2 linked regions of the Notamacropus eugenii genome follow. The protein of the gene in region 2 purifies or fractionates together with the protein of the main gene of each other region. This does not show direct contact. Links are inferred from orthologs where the notes say so. Each region holds a gene or a part of one and is shown on either strand. Other genes may lie near its edges.

The links.
Region 1: the proteins of SYMPK (region 2) and CPSF3 fractionate together in Homo sapiens (co-fractionation; 6 studies listed by BioGRID and IntAct, with this or other methods). This does not show direct contact. The link is inferred for Notamacropus eugenii from reciprocal best matches to the Homo sapiens genes SYMPK and CPSF3.

The regions. Positions count from the first base shown.
Region 1 is NC_092872.1:549,754,437-549,762,404, forward strand, and holds the start of CPSF3 (cleavage and polyadenylation specificity factor subunit 3), read right to left. Parts: upstream 3,060-7,968; 5' UTR 2,811-3,059; coding exon 2,761-2,810; intron 2,175-2,760; exon of another isoform or gene 2,040-2,174; intron 1,953-2,039; exon of another isoform or gene 1,836-1,952; intron 1,040-1,835; coding exon 976-1,039; intron 78-975; coding exon 1-77. UniProt on the Homo sapiens protein: Component of the cleavage and polyadenylation specificity factor (CPSF) complex that plays a key role in pre-mRNA 3'-end formation, recognizing the AAUAAA signal sequence and interacting with poly(A) polymerase and other factors to bring about cleavage and poly(A) addition.
Region 2 is NC_092876.1:27,829,615-27,837,375, reverse strand, and holds the start of SYMPK (symplekin), read left to right. Parts: upstream 1-4,666; 5' UTR 4,667-4,760; coding exon 4,761-4,772; intron 4,773-7,399; exon of another isoform or gene 7,400-7,418; intron 7,419-7,761. UniProt on the Homo sapiens protein: Scaffold protein that functions as a component of a multimolecular complex involved in histone mRNA 3'-end processing. Specific component of the tight junction (TJ) plaque, but might not be an exclusively junctional component. May have a house-keeping rule.

The sequences.
Region 1 (7,968 bases), on a different chromosome or scaffold from region 2:
ATCTCAGCAGGATCTATCAAATCGATGTACGGAAGGGCATCCATTCCTTCTAAGCCAGGATGAATTCCACAATCCAACTGTGAAAGAATTGGGAAAAAATTCATTAAAATATCTTTGAATAATATATAGTACAAATGTGTCTATGGAAAAAAATGTTTAAGTTGACATTAATTTGTCATGTTTAATATGGACAAAATATAATGGTGACAGATTCTACTCATCTATTTAATACTGACTTCTTAAAATAAATGCAAAGCTAGCTGTTTGTAAGACATTTATGATGACAGAGTGAAAAAATGTAAGTACTCAAGTAAGCACTAAGAAACTAAGTAACTTGTTCGTGGTGACACAGGAAGTATCAAAGGTGGACCCTGAACCTACTCTTCCCAAATGTCTCATTAACAGAATAGCAAATGAACCCTTCCAAAGAATCTGAGGATAATTTGGTAAAAATTTTCTTCATGGACATTAGACATCAGTCTGAATTTCTGATCTTTCGTCAATGAGGATCTACCCATAACCCATTAAAAAAACCAGTTAAGTCTACAATGTTTCTCTTGGAGGTGAGGCAGAATAAAGGAGCTAAGGCTTTGTTTCATGCATTCAGGTTAGACACTAACTTTGTATAATCTACCAACTTCTCTTGGTTGGAGAGGAAGGTTGGCTTAGTCACACTGTCTATCTTTTAATGTATTTTTTCACCAAATGTCTAGAATCCTGTTTGGAACCTTTGCACATAATTCCAACCCACAGAAGCAGAACTGACAACCTCTTTAGAATTTATTATAAAAAAGATAATTGGTTGGCAGATCTAGGTAAACATAATTTATTGCATTTATGAGTAGGATATTCCCAAAATTATGTTAATGCTTTTACAAAAAATAAAAATGACTGTTTTACATATTAACAGATTTATACTACATATGTGTATGTATATATATGTATATACACATATGTATACTTTACAATGATTACCATTATTTTTCTTCCTTTGAACTCCAGAATAATACATGATCTTCCTACTTCTTGTCCAGCCCCACTGTAAAAAAAATAACAAGAAACAAACATAAACATCTGTGCAAATGTATTAAGGCAAAATGTTAAAAGCAGCACAAAACTACACTAATAAATCAAACTATGCTTTCTCTCTGGGTTTCAGTTTCCTCATCTGCAAAAAACGAGGCAGGATTAGCTAACCTCTTTGGTCATTTCCAGCTCCAAAACTGTGAGTCTAAGAATGTGACTTCTCCACTTCTCTAAACTTCAACTCCTTGCCTTCAGTCTCAAAATATAATGAAGCCTTCCTTTATTCCAATACTAATCCCTCCACTTTTGCTGTTTAGATCATCAGTTCTAGCCTTCTTACACCTAACACTCAGTCCACTCCTAGCACCAGATATCCTTTGATCCAGTGACACTGTAATACTTTCTGTTCCTTGAACAAAACACACTAGACTTGGAATTTTCACTAGCTGTTCTTCATGCAAGGAAATGCTCTCCCTCTTTATCTCTGCTTCCAAGTACCAGATAAAATCTCACTTACAGGAAGCCTTTTCATCCTACCTTTTCCCTTCTTTATGTTTTTTCTGCACATCTGAAACTGACTGCCATCAAAATGCGCCTGCTGAAATCTCTCCCTTTCTTTAAGGCCAAATTTGGGTGTCACCAACCTATAATAATATCTGGCATTTATATAGGCCTATAGGGTTTGCAAATATTATCTTATTCTCATAACACTGTGAGGTAGCTGGTGCTATTGTCATCCACATTTTAGAGATGAGGAAACTGAGGCAGAAAGAAATTAAATGAAATGCTCAGGGTCACACAGCTATTACCTGAGTGATGCTACATTTTAACTCAGGTTTTCCTGGTGCGTTACTTTCCTCCTTCCACCTGGACGAGATTTCACCTTCCTCCGATTTCTTCTAGTACTCTGTCTGGATATTTCCTTCCTACATGGCATATTTTACCTAGCATCAGACTTATGTATAGATGCATGATTTCTCTAATTATAATCCAACTTCCCTACGGGCAGAGCCAGTCTAGCACCGTGCCTCACACATACCAGATCACAAACAATTGCCTTCTGTTTACATGTCTCTGGGGAAGGCAAGGACTCCTAACGAAAGACAAGGTACTCAATACCGAACAGAAACTTAACCAGCACTTGTCAGGTAATAATTGCTCGGATGTTTACAGTTCTTTCCGTATAAATTCTTCCTCTGGATTCTCAAAAAGAAACCGACCCTGTGAGAGGCGCGGAGTCAGAACCCCTCGCCTTCACGTGGAAGGAAACTCCAGCTCGGCCAACTCGGCGGGGGGGGGGGGGAGGTCTTTGGCCACCATGTCTTTTAGTCCCCGGTTCACTCGTGGATCACACAAGGCAAACCCTCCTGCCCGCAGGGGAGACAGGACAGAGAGGCCCTCAGAGCTCAGTCGGACGAGGGGTGGGGATGACAATGAACACAAAGGGATCTTGCGGCGCAGAGCCACGCAAAATAGTGTCAAGGCAAGTTTGAGGGAAAAGGCCCTGCCACCAGCGGTGGCCACGGAAGGGATCAGGGAGGGATTCCTGAGCAAAGTGGCTTTTAAGGAAGTGGTAGAGATCCGCAGGTGAATGAGGCCGAGCCCACAGGCGCGGGCAGAGTGTGGGGCTGGGAGGCCCCGCCTCAGGAGCCCCCGCGGCCTTCCCCGAGGCCTCCCCCGCCCCCCTCCCCGGGCTCGGCTGCGCGCAGCTTCTCCCTCCCCAGGGCTCCTTACAGAGGTCGGATCAGTAGCTGGTCGCTCTCCTCGGCCGGGATGGCCGACATCTCTGGGGGCAGGGAAAGGGATGAGGAGAGAGGGGGCCCGACGAGCCGCGACCACCACCACAAAGCGGCGACAGCGCAAAAACGCCCACCCCCGCTGCTCCCACGGCACTGCGACCACCACTTCCGGCGTCGCCGGTCTCGGCGCGAAGACGCTCAGGACTTTACTTCCGGTGCGGGCCAGACCCACGAGGTTTGGCTGCTTCCTTTCAAGCCGGGCAACGCGCGGGGCGGGGCTGGGAAAGGAGTTCTGCGCCTGCGCGGTGGGGATGGTGACGGAGTCGGGGGAGGGGTGAGATGAGAGGAAGGAAGGAAAGGGAAAGAAAAAAAAGCGGAGTGGGAGTGGCTGCCTCCGGCTTCTGGACTGAGACGGAAAACAGTTCCATCCCGGAGCCTCCACCCTTAGCGGTGGCCGTAGGTGAGGACCCTCTCCCCATTCCTCCCCGTTGCGCTGTTCTCTCTCTGTTTCTCCGTTGCACCTCGGCGCGGGCCTTCGGTTTCCCGCCTCCAGCGCCGCAGCCACACGCCAGCCTCCGTCGGCTTGGAATCGTGATTCCGAAGCTGGTCTCCGCGTGGGGGAGGGTTAGGTAGGCCTCTGGTTGCTATAGCGACCAGGAACAAAGGTGGGGAGCGATGGAGGGATGAGGAGAGGGGGGCGAAGGAGAATTGGTACCGCCCTCTTCCGTGGATCTGGGCGGTGGCCGCCGGACTCCGAGCCGGGAGAGACCTCCCGAGAGCCGGCCCGCCCCGCCCTCTCATTTTTACAGAGAAGGAAACTGAGGCTCTTGGGGAGAAAGCCCCCCCCCCCCGTGTTAAGTAGCCGAGCTGGCACTGGAACCTAGGAGCCGCGTGTCTTCCCTGATCCTCAGGGCCTCCGTGGCTGGGGCTCAGGGTGAGAAGGGGGTGCCCGAGGGTTCTGTGTGCTGGGGGGGGCGGTGAGAACCTGGAGGAAACGCTAATGATCACTGCTAGGGCCTTCTCGGGGATGTGAGGGCCCGCCGGGGGGAGGGGCCGTACACCCTCGGGTCCGCCGCCCAGCCTGCACGGACCGAGCGTGCCCGCCGGCCGTCCTTGCCCTCCCCCGGCTCGAGGAGGCCACGCAGGGCGTCCGCATCCACCCCGAATGTGGTGGTGGCGTCAGGGGCTCAGGCGTCTTCCCCGCTGCGTTCTGTTTCTCTTTTAAATCGTGTGCGTTGAAAGGTACCTTGGTGTGTCAGACGGAGACAGCTGTTGTGTAAGTTGTCCGCTTCGGACTTGGGCTCTTCTCCGGTGGAAGGCAAGCCAGGCTGAAGGGAAGAGGGTTCGTGAAGATGGTAGAATACGGCACCAGATTCACCCACAATTTAAAATAAGGCCTCCAAGTGAACTTTGAGAGTCAGAAAAAAATTGAACGGGCCATGAAGGAGCTTTGTAAGAATAAAGCATCATGACCAGATGGATTTACAAGTGAATTCTACCAAACATTTAAACATCAAATAATTCAAGTATTAAATGAGCTATTTGGAATAACAGAGGAGTCCTAGCAAACTCCTTTTAGGAAACTAATATGGTGCCAATATCTAAACCAAGAAGAGCTAAAACAGAAAAAGAAAATTGTAGATCAATTTCTTTAATGAATATGAATGCAAAAATTCTAAATAAAATATTAGCCAGGGGATTACAACAACATATCACAAAGATTATACATGATGCTAGGTTGTGAAAGACCGGACCTAATCATTTGTCTCTTTCTTAGAACAAATCCTGGTGTTGGGTTTTGGGGTGTACAGGAAGAAGGGGCTGAGGAAGGCTATGAGTATCCAAGAAAATGATTATTTAAAAAATTTTCACAGGAGTAGGGGAAGAGACTTTGTTTTACAACGTGTCCTATAACTGTGTCTATGAAGGTACTATTCTGTAGCCTTCTCTGTATAGCTTTGTTTCTTTGCCGAGGATTTGTGTTTACCCTATTCTTAGTGACTTCCTTGCAGCTATGATCTCTGGATAAACATCACTTGACCTATCATTCCGAATTGTTTTGTTGGATTGTGCACTTTTATCATGTTTTCCTTCGTAGTCTGCTGTTGGAATCTCATAGGGTAGATTCTCCAGATTCATTTCGGTGTTTCAAGAGTCTCTGGTTCCTGGTTATGGGGAACAAAGGGGAGGGGTATCTGAGTGAGACAAAAGCCAGGAGCACATCTTCCCTACCTCTCAGTTAGCTTATTTAATTTCCCTTCTTTATTTTTAACCGAGCTAAAAGTCATCACCAGCACTACCTTCCCCTGAGGGCATATTTCCTAATTCTTGCCCCAAACTGGTTTGTTGTAATGGCCAGTGGGGTCTGCCTAGGTACACACCACCTCTAATCTTATTACATAATAGTTGTGTAACTTTGGGACAAATCATTTCATTTCTCTTGGCCTTAATTTCTTCCTTTGTCAAATGAGAGGATTGAACTAAACAATTTCTAAGATCCCTTTCGTTTCTATTTTTTTTAAATTTCCTTTCTCTCCCCAATGGGGTGGACCCATGGTAAAGAGAAAAAGTAGATTTGTGTTCATCTAAAAAAAGGAGGATGATTCAGAAGTGAAATGTTACATGTACTTTCAAATGTCATTGTATCATTGGTTTTACTTAACTGTTTTACCATGTTCTGAGAGACTTCTCATGACGTGAGAGTAAATTGTAAATATATGTAATATAAACACAAAGTACATCAAAAAGTCCAAAAGTGACCCCCCCCAAAATCCCATGAATCTAATTACTACTATTAAAGAAAAACTCTTTAAAAAAATAAAATTTTATTGATATATTTTGTTTTTATGTAACCCACATCCACCAGTTATATGCATCTCCTTTGCCCTCCCTCAATAGAAGTGTTAAAAAAAAAAAAACTGTACATGGTGACCAAATGGGATTTGTACTGGGAATGTAGGGATAGTTTAACATAAGGAAAACTATTAATATAATTGATTATGTCAATAACAAAAGTGACAAAAAGAATATAATTATATCTGTATTTGCTGAAAAAGCTTTTGACAAAATGCCACACTCATTCCTATTGAAAACACTTGAAAGCATAGGTATAAGTGGATTTTTTCCTTAAAATGGTAAGAAGTATTACCTAAAACCATCAGTAAGCATCATTTTTAATCTGGGTAAGCTAAAAGCCTTCTCAGTAAGATCAGGAGTGAAACAACGATGCCCATTATCACCAGTATTATTCAGTATTATATTAGAAATGCTAGTAAAGAGCATTTAGAGGAATAAAAGAAGTTGAAGGAATCAGAATGAGCAATGAAATAAAGCTGTTTTTAAAGATGAAAGGATGATATACTTGGAAAATCCTAGCAATTCAATTAAAAAGTTAGTTGGAATAATTATTGATTTTAGCAAAGTAGCAAGATTTAAAATAAACCCACGTACATCATCAGAATTTCTTTATATCATCAACAAAAAGTGCAAGAATAGATACCCCACTTAAAGAAATTGTAGACAGTACAAAACACCTGGGAGTATATCTACCAAGAAAAACCCCAAAAGTACATGAGCAAAAGCATAAAACAGTTTTTATACAAATAAAGTCAGATTTAAATGATTGGAAAAATATTAATTGCTCCTGGGTGGACAGAGCCAGTATAATAAACATGACAATCCTACCCAAATTAATCTACTTATGCAATGCCATTTCAATTAAATTACCAGAAAATTATTGTGTTGAGCTGTAAAAAATAATAAAATTCATTGGGAAGAACAAAAATTCAAGAATATCAAAGAATTAATAAAAGAAAAACATGGAGGAGGCTTAATGATACCTGATCTGAAACTGTGTAATAAACTATATAGTAAAGCAATAAATCAGAACTGTCCTGTACTAGGAAAAGTGGATGAGTGCAACAGAGCAGACATGCAGTACTCAGTGAATGATCAAAGTAACCTTGCGTTTTGACAAATGCAAAGATTTAAACTTTTAGAATAAGTATTCACTATTTGGTAAAAATTGTTGAGAAAACTAGAAAGCAGTCTGTCAAAAATTAGGTGCAGACAAATATCTTCTGACATTTACCAAGATAAGGTCTAAAATGCATACAAGACCCTGATATAAAAGGAGATGTCATAAGAAAATTAGAACAGGGAACATAATGCCTGTAAGACTTATAGAAAGAAGAATTATGAACAAGAGATAGCATTTTGATAATGTGAATTGAATAGTTTTATTTTGTTACATTTAAAAGGTTTTGTACAAATAAAATCATTGTAACCAAGATTAGAAGGAAAGCAGAAAATTGGGGGAAAATTTCTATAGGCAGTTTATCAGGTAAAGACCTCATCTCAAATATATAGAGAACTTTATCAAATTTATAAGATTGTGAGTCATTCTTCAATTGATAAATGGTTAAAGGATGTGAACAGGTAGTTTTTTGATGAAGAAATCATCATTTATATAGACATAAAAAAATGCCCTTAATTATTATTGATTAGAGAAATGTAAATTAAAACAACTTTGGGGTATTGTCTCACTCCTATGAGGTTGGCTAAAATGATAGGAGAAAGTGACGAGTATTGAAGGGGATGTGGAAAAATGGGAAATCCTTTTAAGTACTGATATTTTTGTAACCTTGGAATTATCCTCAATAGCCAATCAATTGCCAAATCCTTTTAACATTTCTCATCTCTTCCCTTCTCTCTTTTCATATGGCCATCATTCTAGTTAAAGGCCTCATCAGTTTTTATCAGGACTTTTTGTAATAGCTATCAGTTATAAAGGGCCTACTATGTGCCAGGTGGGGTGTAGGGTTTGTTCAGGGAGGTCTAGTACCTTTGTTGTGATGACTTCCAAGCCCTTTTCAGGACTCTTCAACTTTGGTGTTCACCTGTTCCACCCAACTCTCACCTGTGGCTCCAAGAAGCTTCAGCATACACAGTGGCCATATCCTGGTAAACCGTTTCAGCAGATGGGCCAAACCAGGTTGAGGGTAACCAAGGGGTCTCAAACCCATTGGTGTTTTAGGGAAGTGTCTACTCCAAGCATGTGAAGACTTCCCCTGGTGGAATGGGCAGATGAGAACAGTTTGTTCCAGTGGCCATGAAGGCAGCTGAGGCAGGCGATGTGGAACACTTAGAGCTTGGTTAGACACCAGAGATGCTGTCATCTACTGCATCCTCAGCTGTCACCAGC
Region 2 (7,761 bases):
CTGATAGATGTACTGTGTTGGTGGAATCAGCAAGGCAAAGTATCTGATTAAATGTGGACAGTAAGAGTTGGGAAGTGGAGATTAATTTGATTCAATGAGTCTAGGGACTTTTAAGACAAGTCGAGGAACTATAAATATTCTCCACTCATACAGCCTCTGTCCCATTTCAGGCTTTCGATACCTCTTGCATAGATTATTGTAATGGCCTCCTAATTAGTCTCCCTGCCTCTAAACTTTTTCTTCTCTTTTGTTTCTCTTTCATCCTCCACACAGATGCCAAAATGATATTACTAAAACATAGGTCCGACCATGTAATTCTCAATCAGAAATCTTCAGTCGATCCCCGTTTGTTCTCCTCAGCCTGGCATTCATTGCCCTTCAAAATCTGTCTCCTACCTACCTTTGCAGTATTATTTCATATTATGTCCCTTCATTCATTCTCCTTTCCAGTCAATGGGCCACTAGCTGTTTCCCATATTTAAGTTAATATGGTTTATTGAAGATATAATTTTTCCACAGAAGACTCATTTAGTTGCATGGCAGAAATTTTTGTATGTTGTTTCATCATTAGCATTGCTTTTCTCATTATTCTTTCTGATTTCTTCTTTGACTCACCCATTCATTATCATGTCTCTAGTGAATTCCGTATCTATTGTTCATGATTCCCAAACTGATAATTATTTTTTATTGTGCTATGATCTGTAAAGGATGTGTTTACTATTTCTATCTTTTCCCATTTATTTACACTATTACACTTCCTTAATATAGTCAATTTTTGTACAAATTTCTTGTGGTGTTGAGATATATGGATTTTCTTTAGCCGTCACTTTCAGAAGATGCCATATCTTTCGGCTTTAATTTTTCTGGAAATTTGTTTAATTCTATAAATTTTTTTCATTTTTCTATGTAATATTTATCCAAATACCAGAGACTTTAAGGTCTCACCATTGCTGTGTTACTATCTAAATCTTCTTACAATTTAGTTAACTTTTCCTTTGTGAGGTTAGATGCTATACCATTTGCTACATGTCAGTTTAAAACTGAGGTTGGTTTGTTGTCTGTGGTTCCTATAGCATAATGTACCTTGCTTTTTTATCTCTATATATATTGTGGATTTTTGTTTTTCCTTTATCTGAGCAACTCCTTCTTTTTGGATTCACCAATTCATAGTAAACTTTGTTTCAGCCTCTACATATTCTGCATGTCTTTGCTTTAGACATGTTTCTTATGAACAACAGATTGCGGTGCTCTGTTATCCAATCTGTTACTCTTTCATTTTATTGGATTGTTTAGTCTGTCTACATTTAAAGTTATAAAAGATTTTCTGTTTTCTTCCATTTGTGTTTCTAGTATTTTTTTTTCCAAAATTAGATTTTTTTTTTTTGTCCCATACATCATATTCCATCTTCCACCTCCATACCTTTGCAAAAGCTGTCCTCTGTGACTGGAAATCCCATGTTTCCTTCAAGTCACAGTTCAGGGGCTACCTCCTACATAAGGTGCCTGATCTCTCTGGTTATCAACATTCTCTTCCTCTTGAAATGACTTTGTGTCTTTTACTTATTTGTATGTATATCACTCCTCTTTACCCCAAGTAGAACACAAACTACTTGAGAGAATCGTTTAACTTTTGTCACTGTGTCCCTGGTGCCTAGCACAGTAGGTGCTGACATAGTGGGTGCTTATAAATGTTGAATTACATGGAAAAACTGGGATAGGTACTCAGAGACAGAGATGAGGAAATTGGAGACAGATATATGACATCAGAGACAGAGATGTGGGCTTAGGGTCAGTGACGGGGCTCAGAACTCACAGACATGAGTTCATAGAACTAGAAATCCAGAGATAGGAAGGAGTTCTCAGACACAGAGACAGAAACAAGGGTTTGAAGACAAAGGAGGAAACTTGAGGATGGGGTGGAATCTTAGATATGGTGATGGGGGCAGAGAGATAGGAATTTCAGTGCCAGAAATTGGGAGTCTGCAGTAAGAGATTCAGAGATGGGGGTTGGGACTCAGAAACAGGGATATCACAGACAGCAATGGAAATTCAGAGACAGAGATGAAAGTCCAGATATGGGAATGGGGACTCTGAAGTGAGGATGGGGGTTCAGTTATGGAAACTAGTCCTTGGAAGCAAGGATGAGGATCAGAGTTGGGAGCATGAAGTCAGAGGCAGAGATGTCGAGTTCCTAGACAGGCACTGGAGCAGAGGTTGAGATGGGTTTGAGTCAAAATAATTTAAGACATGATCAGTAGTGGTCTGGTAAATTTCTGGATACAGCCTCAGAGGAAAGAATCAGGATCCAGGTATGGGAATAAAGGATCAGAGATGGGGATGGAGCTGAGAAAGTGACTCAGGCTCAGAAACTCAAAGGGAGACTTTCATATTGGCCTTATAATTAGTCTCTTCTAATGCATCCTCCATAGTGGTACAATCCTAAAGCACAGATTTGCCTAGGCTCCTCCTCTACTCAAGAATCTTCCATGGCTCTCTCTTACTTCTAAGAAAGCAAAACACACTCCTTAGCTCAGCACATTCACAATCTAACTGCAACCCACCTTTCCAGATATTTTTTCACATTACTCCATTCCAGTTACAATCACCTAGCTCTTTCCCCTCTCACTTCTGGGGTCTTTGCTCAGAGTATGCCATGTTCCTGGTGCACTGTGTGCCATGCCTAGAATACACTACCTCTGCACCTACATAAATTCCTAAGTTACTGACTCTAGGCAAGTCACTTCACCTCTGATTGTCTCACCTGTAAAATAAGAATAACAAAAGCACTTTCCTTGCAAGATTGTTGGGAGACTCAAATATTTGTAAAGTACATAGCAGAGTGCCGGGCATACAGTAGTTGCTGAATAAATGATTATTCCCCTTCCCTTCTCCCTTCAAGGCTCAGCTGCTAGGTGGCCTCCTACAGAATGCTTTTCTTGGCTCCTCCTTCCCAAAGTTTGCCCTCCCACCATCCTCAAAGAATATTTTGGGGTCTGGGCTAGTGACTTCCTCTAGGCAGAGAACTCCTGGTCCTTAATACAGAATGACTCACCTGTAAATTTTATTCTTGTATTTCCTGGGCACCGACTGGTTAAGCACTTGCCTTTAGTGATGAGGCTAGTATATATGTCAGAGACTGGAACCTCAGTATTCCTGATTGCAAAGGTGGGGGTGCCATCCCTCATCTCCCTCCAAACACATAATCATGGGAAATAGCTGAGCTTCCCAAAGCCCCTTTTCTCTCATTTGATCCTTCTAGCCTCCCTTTGGTATAGGTCCCATTTTACAGATGAGGAAACTCAAGATGAGAGGTTAGGGGACTTGTCAAAGGTCACCCCACCAGGAAGCGTGTGAGGAGGGACGTGGACCCACACCTTCCCAATGTCCCCTGGTGGTCTCTCTTAGAATGGAAGCTTCTGGAGGGCAGAGACCGTCATTCTCTCTGTATCTACGTGGGGCTGGTGAGTTAGGGGGTGTGAAGACTTCCCCAAGGCAATGAGTGGATGGGCACCATCCGTTCCAAGGCCATGAAGTCCAGCTCCTGAAGCAGGGGCTGGAAGGCCCCGAGGTCATGCACGGCCTCCCCAGCTTTCCCCAGTCCTGGGGACTCTTGACTCCCTGCGCTTCGCTGACTCTGGAGGAGGGAGGGGAGCCCCTCACTGGGGGCAGCCGGGCCTCGCTGGCCAGCCCAGACCAGAGACGTGCATACGGAGAGCATGGGACCCGGAGTGGGGAAGGCTTGGGTTCAGATTCAGCCACAGACCCGCACCAGCCCCCCGAACCCTAGCAAACCATGTCTCCTCGGGCTGCCTCAGTTTCTTCCACTGTAAAACGGGGCTAAGAGCACAACGCCTCACTGCACTTAGCACAGAGCCCGCGGGCACACAGCAGGCACTTGGTAAAGCTCGCTCCCTCCCCTCCCCCTCCCCCGCAGGAAGCAGCCTGGTACCCAGGTCCTGGATTCCAACACTGCGTCTGCTGCCTGCTCCCTGCAACACCTCCTCTGTATCACCAGGAGGCGCTGGAGCAGCTGGGTCTCAGGGCTTCCCCCGCTCCCAGCACCCGTGTTCACAGAACTTGGGGGCGGGGAGAGATAAAACAGAAAATCACTGGGGGTGGCAGGAACAGCAGAGGCTGGCCAGCAGGTGGTGGCCTCCAGCGAGTGCTCTCCTGGAAGGGGGGACCCCGGGCCATGGACAAGGCCTAAGCAGGGCGTCTGGCGCTCGTGACTCGGAGGGGGCTGGAGCGCGCAGGGAAGGGGTCTCCAGCGGCCCTGGGGGGTCATCCGGCTGGACGCAGCGCCCCGGCCTGTGCAGGACCCGCGACAGCGTCCCGCCTCGCAGCCCGGCCCAGGCCCGGAAGACTCCACTCCCTTCCGCCTCCCATTCCGCTCCACGCTGCTCTCTGCGACCACGAGGAGAGCAGGAGCGCCACCCCCCGGATCTCTCCCTCCCCGGCGCCCTCCTTCCGGAGAACCCACGGAGCGCGGAGAACTCCAATTCCCACAATCCTCAGAGACGCCTCCGGGGCTCCGCGGTGCAATGGCTCTGTTTTCGTAGAGTCTCCTTCCGGCCTTGGGGCATCGGGGCGAGTCTCCCTGGGCGGGGAGGCTACTCTGGACTCCATTTCCCGGCGTCCCTAGCCCTCTCACTGCCTCTGCTTCCTCCTTGGGGGCGCGCACCCTTCCGAAAACTCCATTTCCCGGCGGGCCTCGCAGAGGCCACGCTTGCGCAGAAGGGGCATCGGCAGTCGGCCCGAAGATGGCGACGGCTGTGAGGAGGAGACGCTGCCGAGGGCGGCGTGAGGGGGAAGGAGGAAGAGAGAGGGAAAAGAGGACAGGGGGCGACGAGGGAGAATAGAAGAGGATGGGAGGAGGGCGGCCTCCGCAGGACTCGGACCCCCAGGGGAAAGGAAACCATGATGGGGTGGGGGCAGGGGCGCAGAACCTTGTGGAGGAGCTGCTCATTGGGAAGAGGGGAGCAATGGGCGAGACCATCGTGCGTAGGGGGAGACAGGGACAGTACACTGCGAGGTTGGGGTAGTATGTGTGCGTGGGCACTCTGAGGAGGCTAGAACCCTGGGCAGGTAGAAACAACTAGAGAGAGGGGCGCGATGGGCGAGACCATCGTGCGCGGGGGGGGGGGGGGGCCGGAACGTGAGTGAGCCCCGAAGAGGGACCGTGGAGGTGGAGCCTTTCATGGGGACAGAACATGGGGAAGGGGGCAAGGAAGAGGGGTGTATGAACCCTGAAGACAGATCATGGGGGTGGGGGAGAACCCCAGGGTGAGGGAGGCCACTGGGGAGAATGGGGGGGGGGAAGAACCCTGGGGAGGTAGAGACCATGGAGGAGAATGGGGAGAGAGGAGAACCTTGGGAAGGTAGAGACCATTGGGAAAAATTGGGGGGGAGAACCTTGGGGAGGTAGAGACCATTGGGGATAATGGGGGGGAAGAAGAGAACCTTGGGGTGGTAGAGACCATTGGGGAAAATTGAGGGGGGAAGAGAATCTTACAGAGGTAAAGACCATGGAGTAGAATGGGGGGAGAGGAGAACCTTGGGAAGGTAGAGACCATTGGGGAAAATTGGGGGGGAGACTTTGGGGAGGTAGAGACCATTGGGCAGAATGGGGGGGAAGAGAAACCTAGGGAGGTAAAGACCATGGAGGAGAATGGGGGGGAGAACCCTAGGGAGTAGAGAGAAGGGGAGGGGAGAAGAGACCTCTGAGGAGGTAGAAACCACTGGGGAGAATAGGGGGAGCAGGGAGGATGAGGAGCAAGTGTGAATCTTGAGACTGTTACAGAGGCTTGGGGGCCAGAAAGGAAACCCTGGACTGGTAGAGACCATTAGGCAGAAAACTTTGGGCAGAGTAGGAGGAGGATGGGAGAGAGGGTGAGTGGGGATAGCTCTGGGGCTGCAGGTGCTGCTGGGGAGGTTGATGGGACACATTGGGATTGAGGACGGAGGGAGATGGAGGGAGGAACTGTTTAGCTTGTTGGACTGTCCTAGAGCCCAGTGGAGGAGGAGCGTTGTGGGGGTAACCGGTGGGGTGGGGTGTAGGGAATTTAAGGACTGGGAAAGAAATGGTGAGGTGCTGGGGCAAGGAGCATTAGAGACCCTTGTGGGAGGAGGGAAACTATCCTGGAAGGGGAAAGGGAAGGACATTTTTGTAGCTATCAGTGGGGAGGGCAAGAGAGCACATTTTGTCTGACTCTTTGTAGTGTGACCTTGGGCAAGTCACTTAATCTCCCTCAGCCTTACTTTTATCATTTATGAACCGGGGATCATAGTGCCCATAGCACCTACCTCACAGGGTTGTTGGGAGGACCAAATGAGAAAATGTAGGTGAAGCGCTTTCACACGCTTTAGATGTCAGCTGTTACTAGATTTGGGAAGGAGGGAGACACTAGTGGAAGGAAGGAGAAGAGAGAGCATTGGAAGGGGAGAAGGGAGGAGAGAGCATTGGAAGGGGAGAAGGGAGGAGAGAACATTGGAGGGGGAGAAGGGAGGAGAGAACATTGGAGGGGGAGGGGGGGAGAGATGAAGAATAAGGAAGTCTCATGGATGGGCCTAGATTGCATTCTCAAGGGGAGGAGATATCTTGACTGAGGGAGGTGGGAGGAACCTCTTGTGAAATGGGGGGGGAAGGGTGGGGGGGGTGAACTAAATTCAGTCAGCAGCTGTTCAGTGCCCACTGTTAGGGATCACAAAGATGAACAAAAGCCTGTTCTAAAGGGAACTTAGTGTGATAAGCGACAAGCAGGTCAATAGCAACTAAGTGTTTAAGAGAGGACAGGGTGATCTCAGAGGTCCCTTTTCAGTTCTCTCACATTCTGTAAGACCTTCGAGTACTATATAAACGTGAGCAGCTGTTATTCTGAGGGACCTTAGGTCTCTGGAGTGGAGGTTCTGAGGGTTCTTCCAGTTTGGAGGGCCAGAGGACAGGCGAGGCTGGTCTTGCCTAGCAGACTGTTCTCATGGATAGGAGAAGGGCTGGGATGGAGCTGTCTGCTGTTCCCAAAACTGTGGAGGAGGGGAACAAGTGAGATCATCCATTTTATCTCAAGGCCCTGGCTTGGCCATGGACCTTCGATTTATCCTCTGAATCCCAGGGGACTGAGAGGTTCCCCCAGAAGCCCAAAGTAGAAAAGTTGAGGCAGTTCCAGACTGAGCTCATAGGGGAGATCTCAAGGAACTAGACCCCTGGGCCTCAGTCAGGCAGCCCATTCTGGAAACTTCGATGAGGACATATATTCCTAGATTCATGTAATCCCTGGAATTATCTGGTCCAGCTCTTACAAGAGACATCATAGAATAGTGGGAAGCGTCCTGGATTTGGGATCTGAGTGCTTGGTTTGAATCCTGGCTCAAGCACTTAGTGCTTGGTACAGAGGAAAATCCGAGTTCAAATTTAGCCTCAGGTATCTTCCTAACTGTGACCCTAGGCAAGTCACTTTACCTCTGTTTTGCCTCAGTTTCTTCACCTGTAAAATGGGAGTGATAACAGCACCCACCCCCCCCATGAGAATCAGATGAGACATTTATGCAAAGTTCTTCGGCACATAGCAAGTTCTACAGAGGCTTTTCTTGTCCCTGCCCTGGACCTCTCCCTTGTCCCAGGATGTTTCCATCTTACCCCTCCCAGGACAGCTGACCTCAGGATAGGACAACCAGGATTCACATACTAAGACTGACTCTAGTCGGTCCCATGATTTCTCAGTGCCCTGTGGCACTCTAAAAGAGGAGTTGCCAAGAAAATGCTGC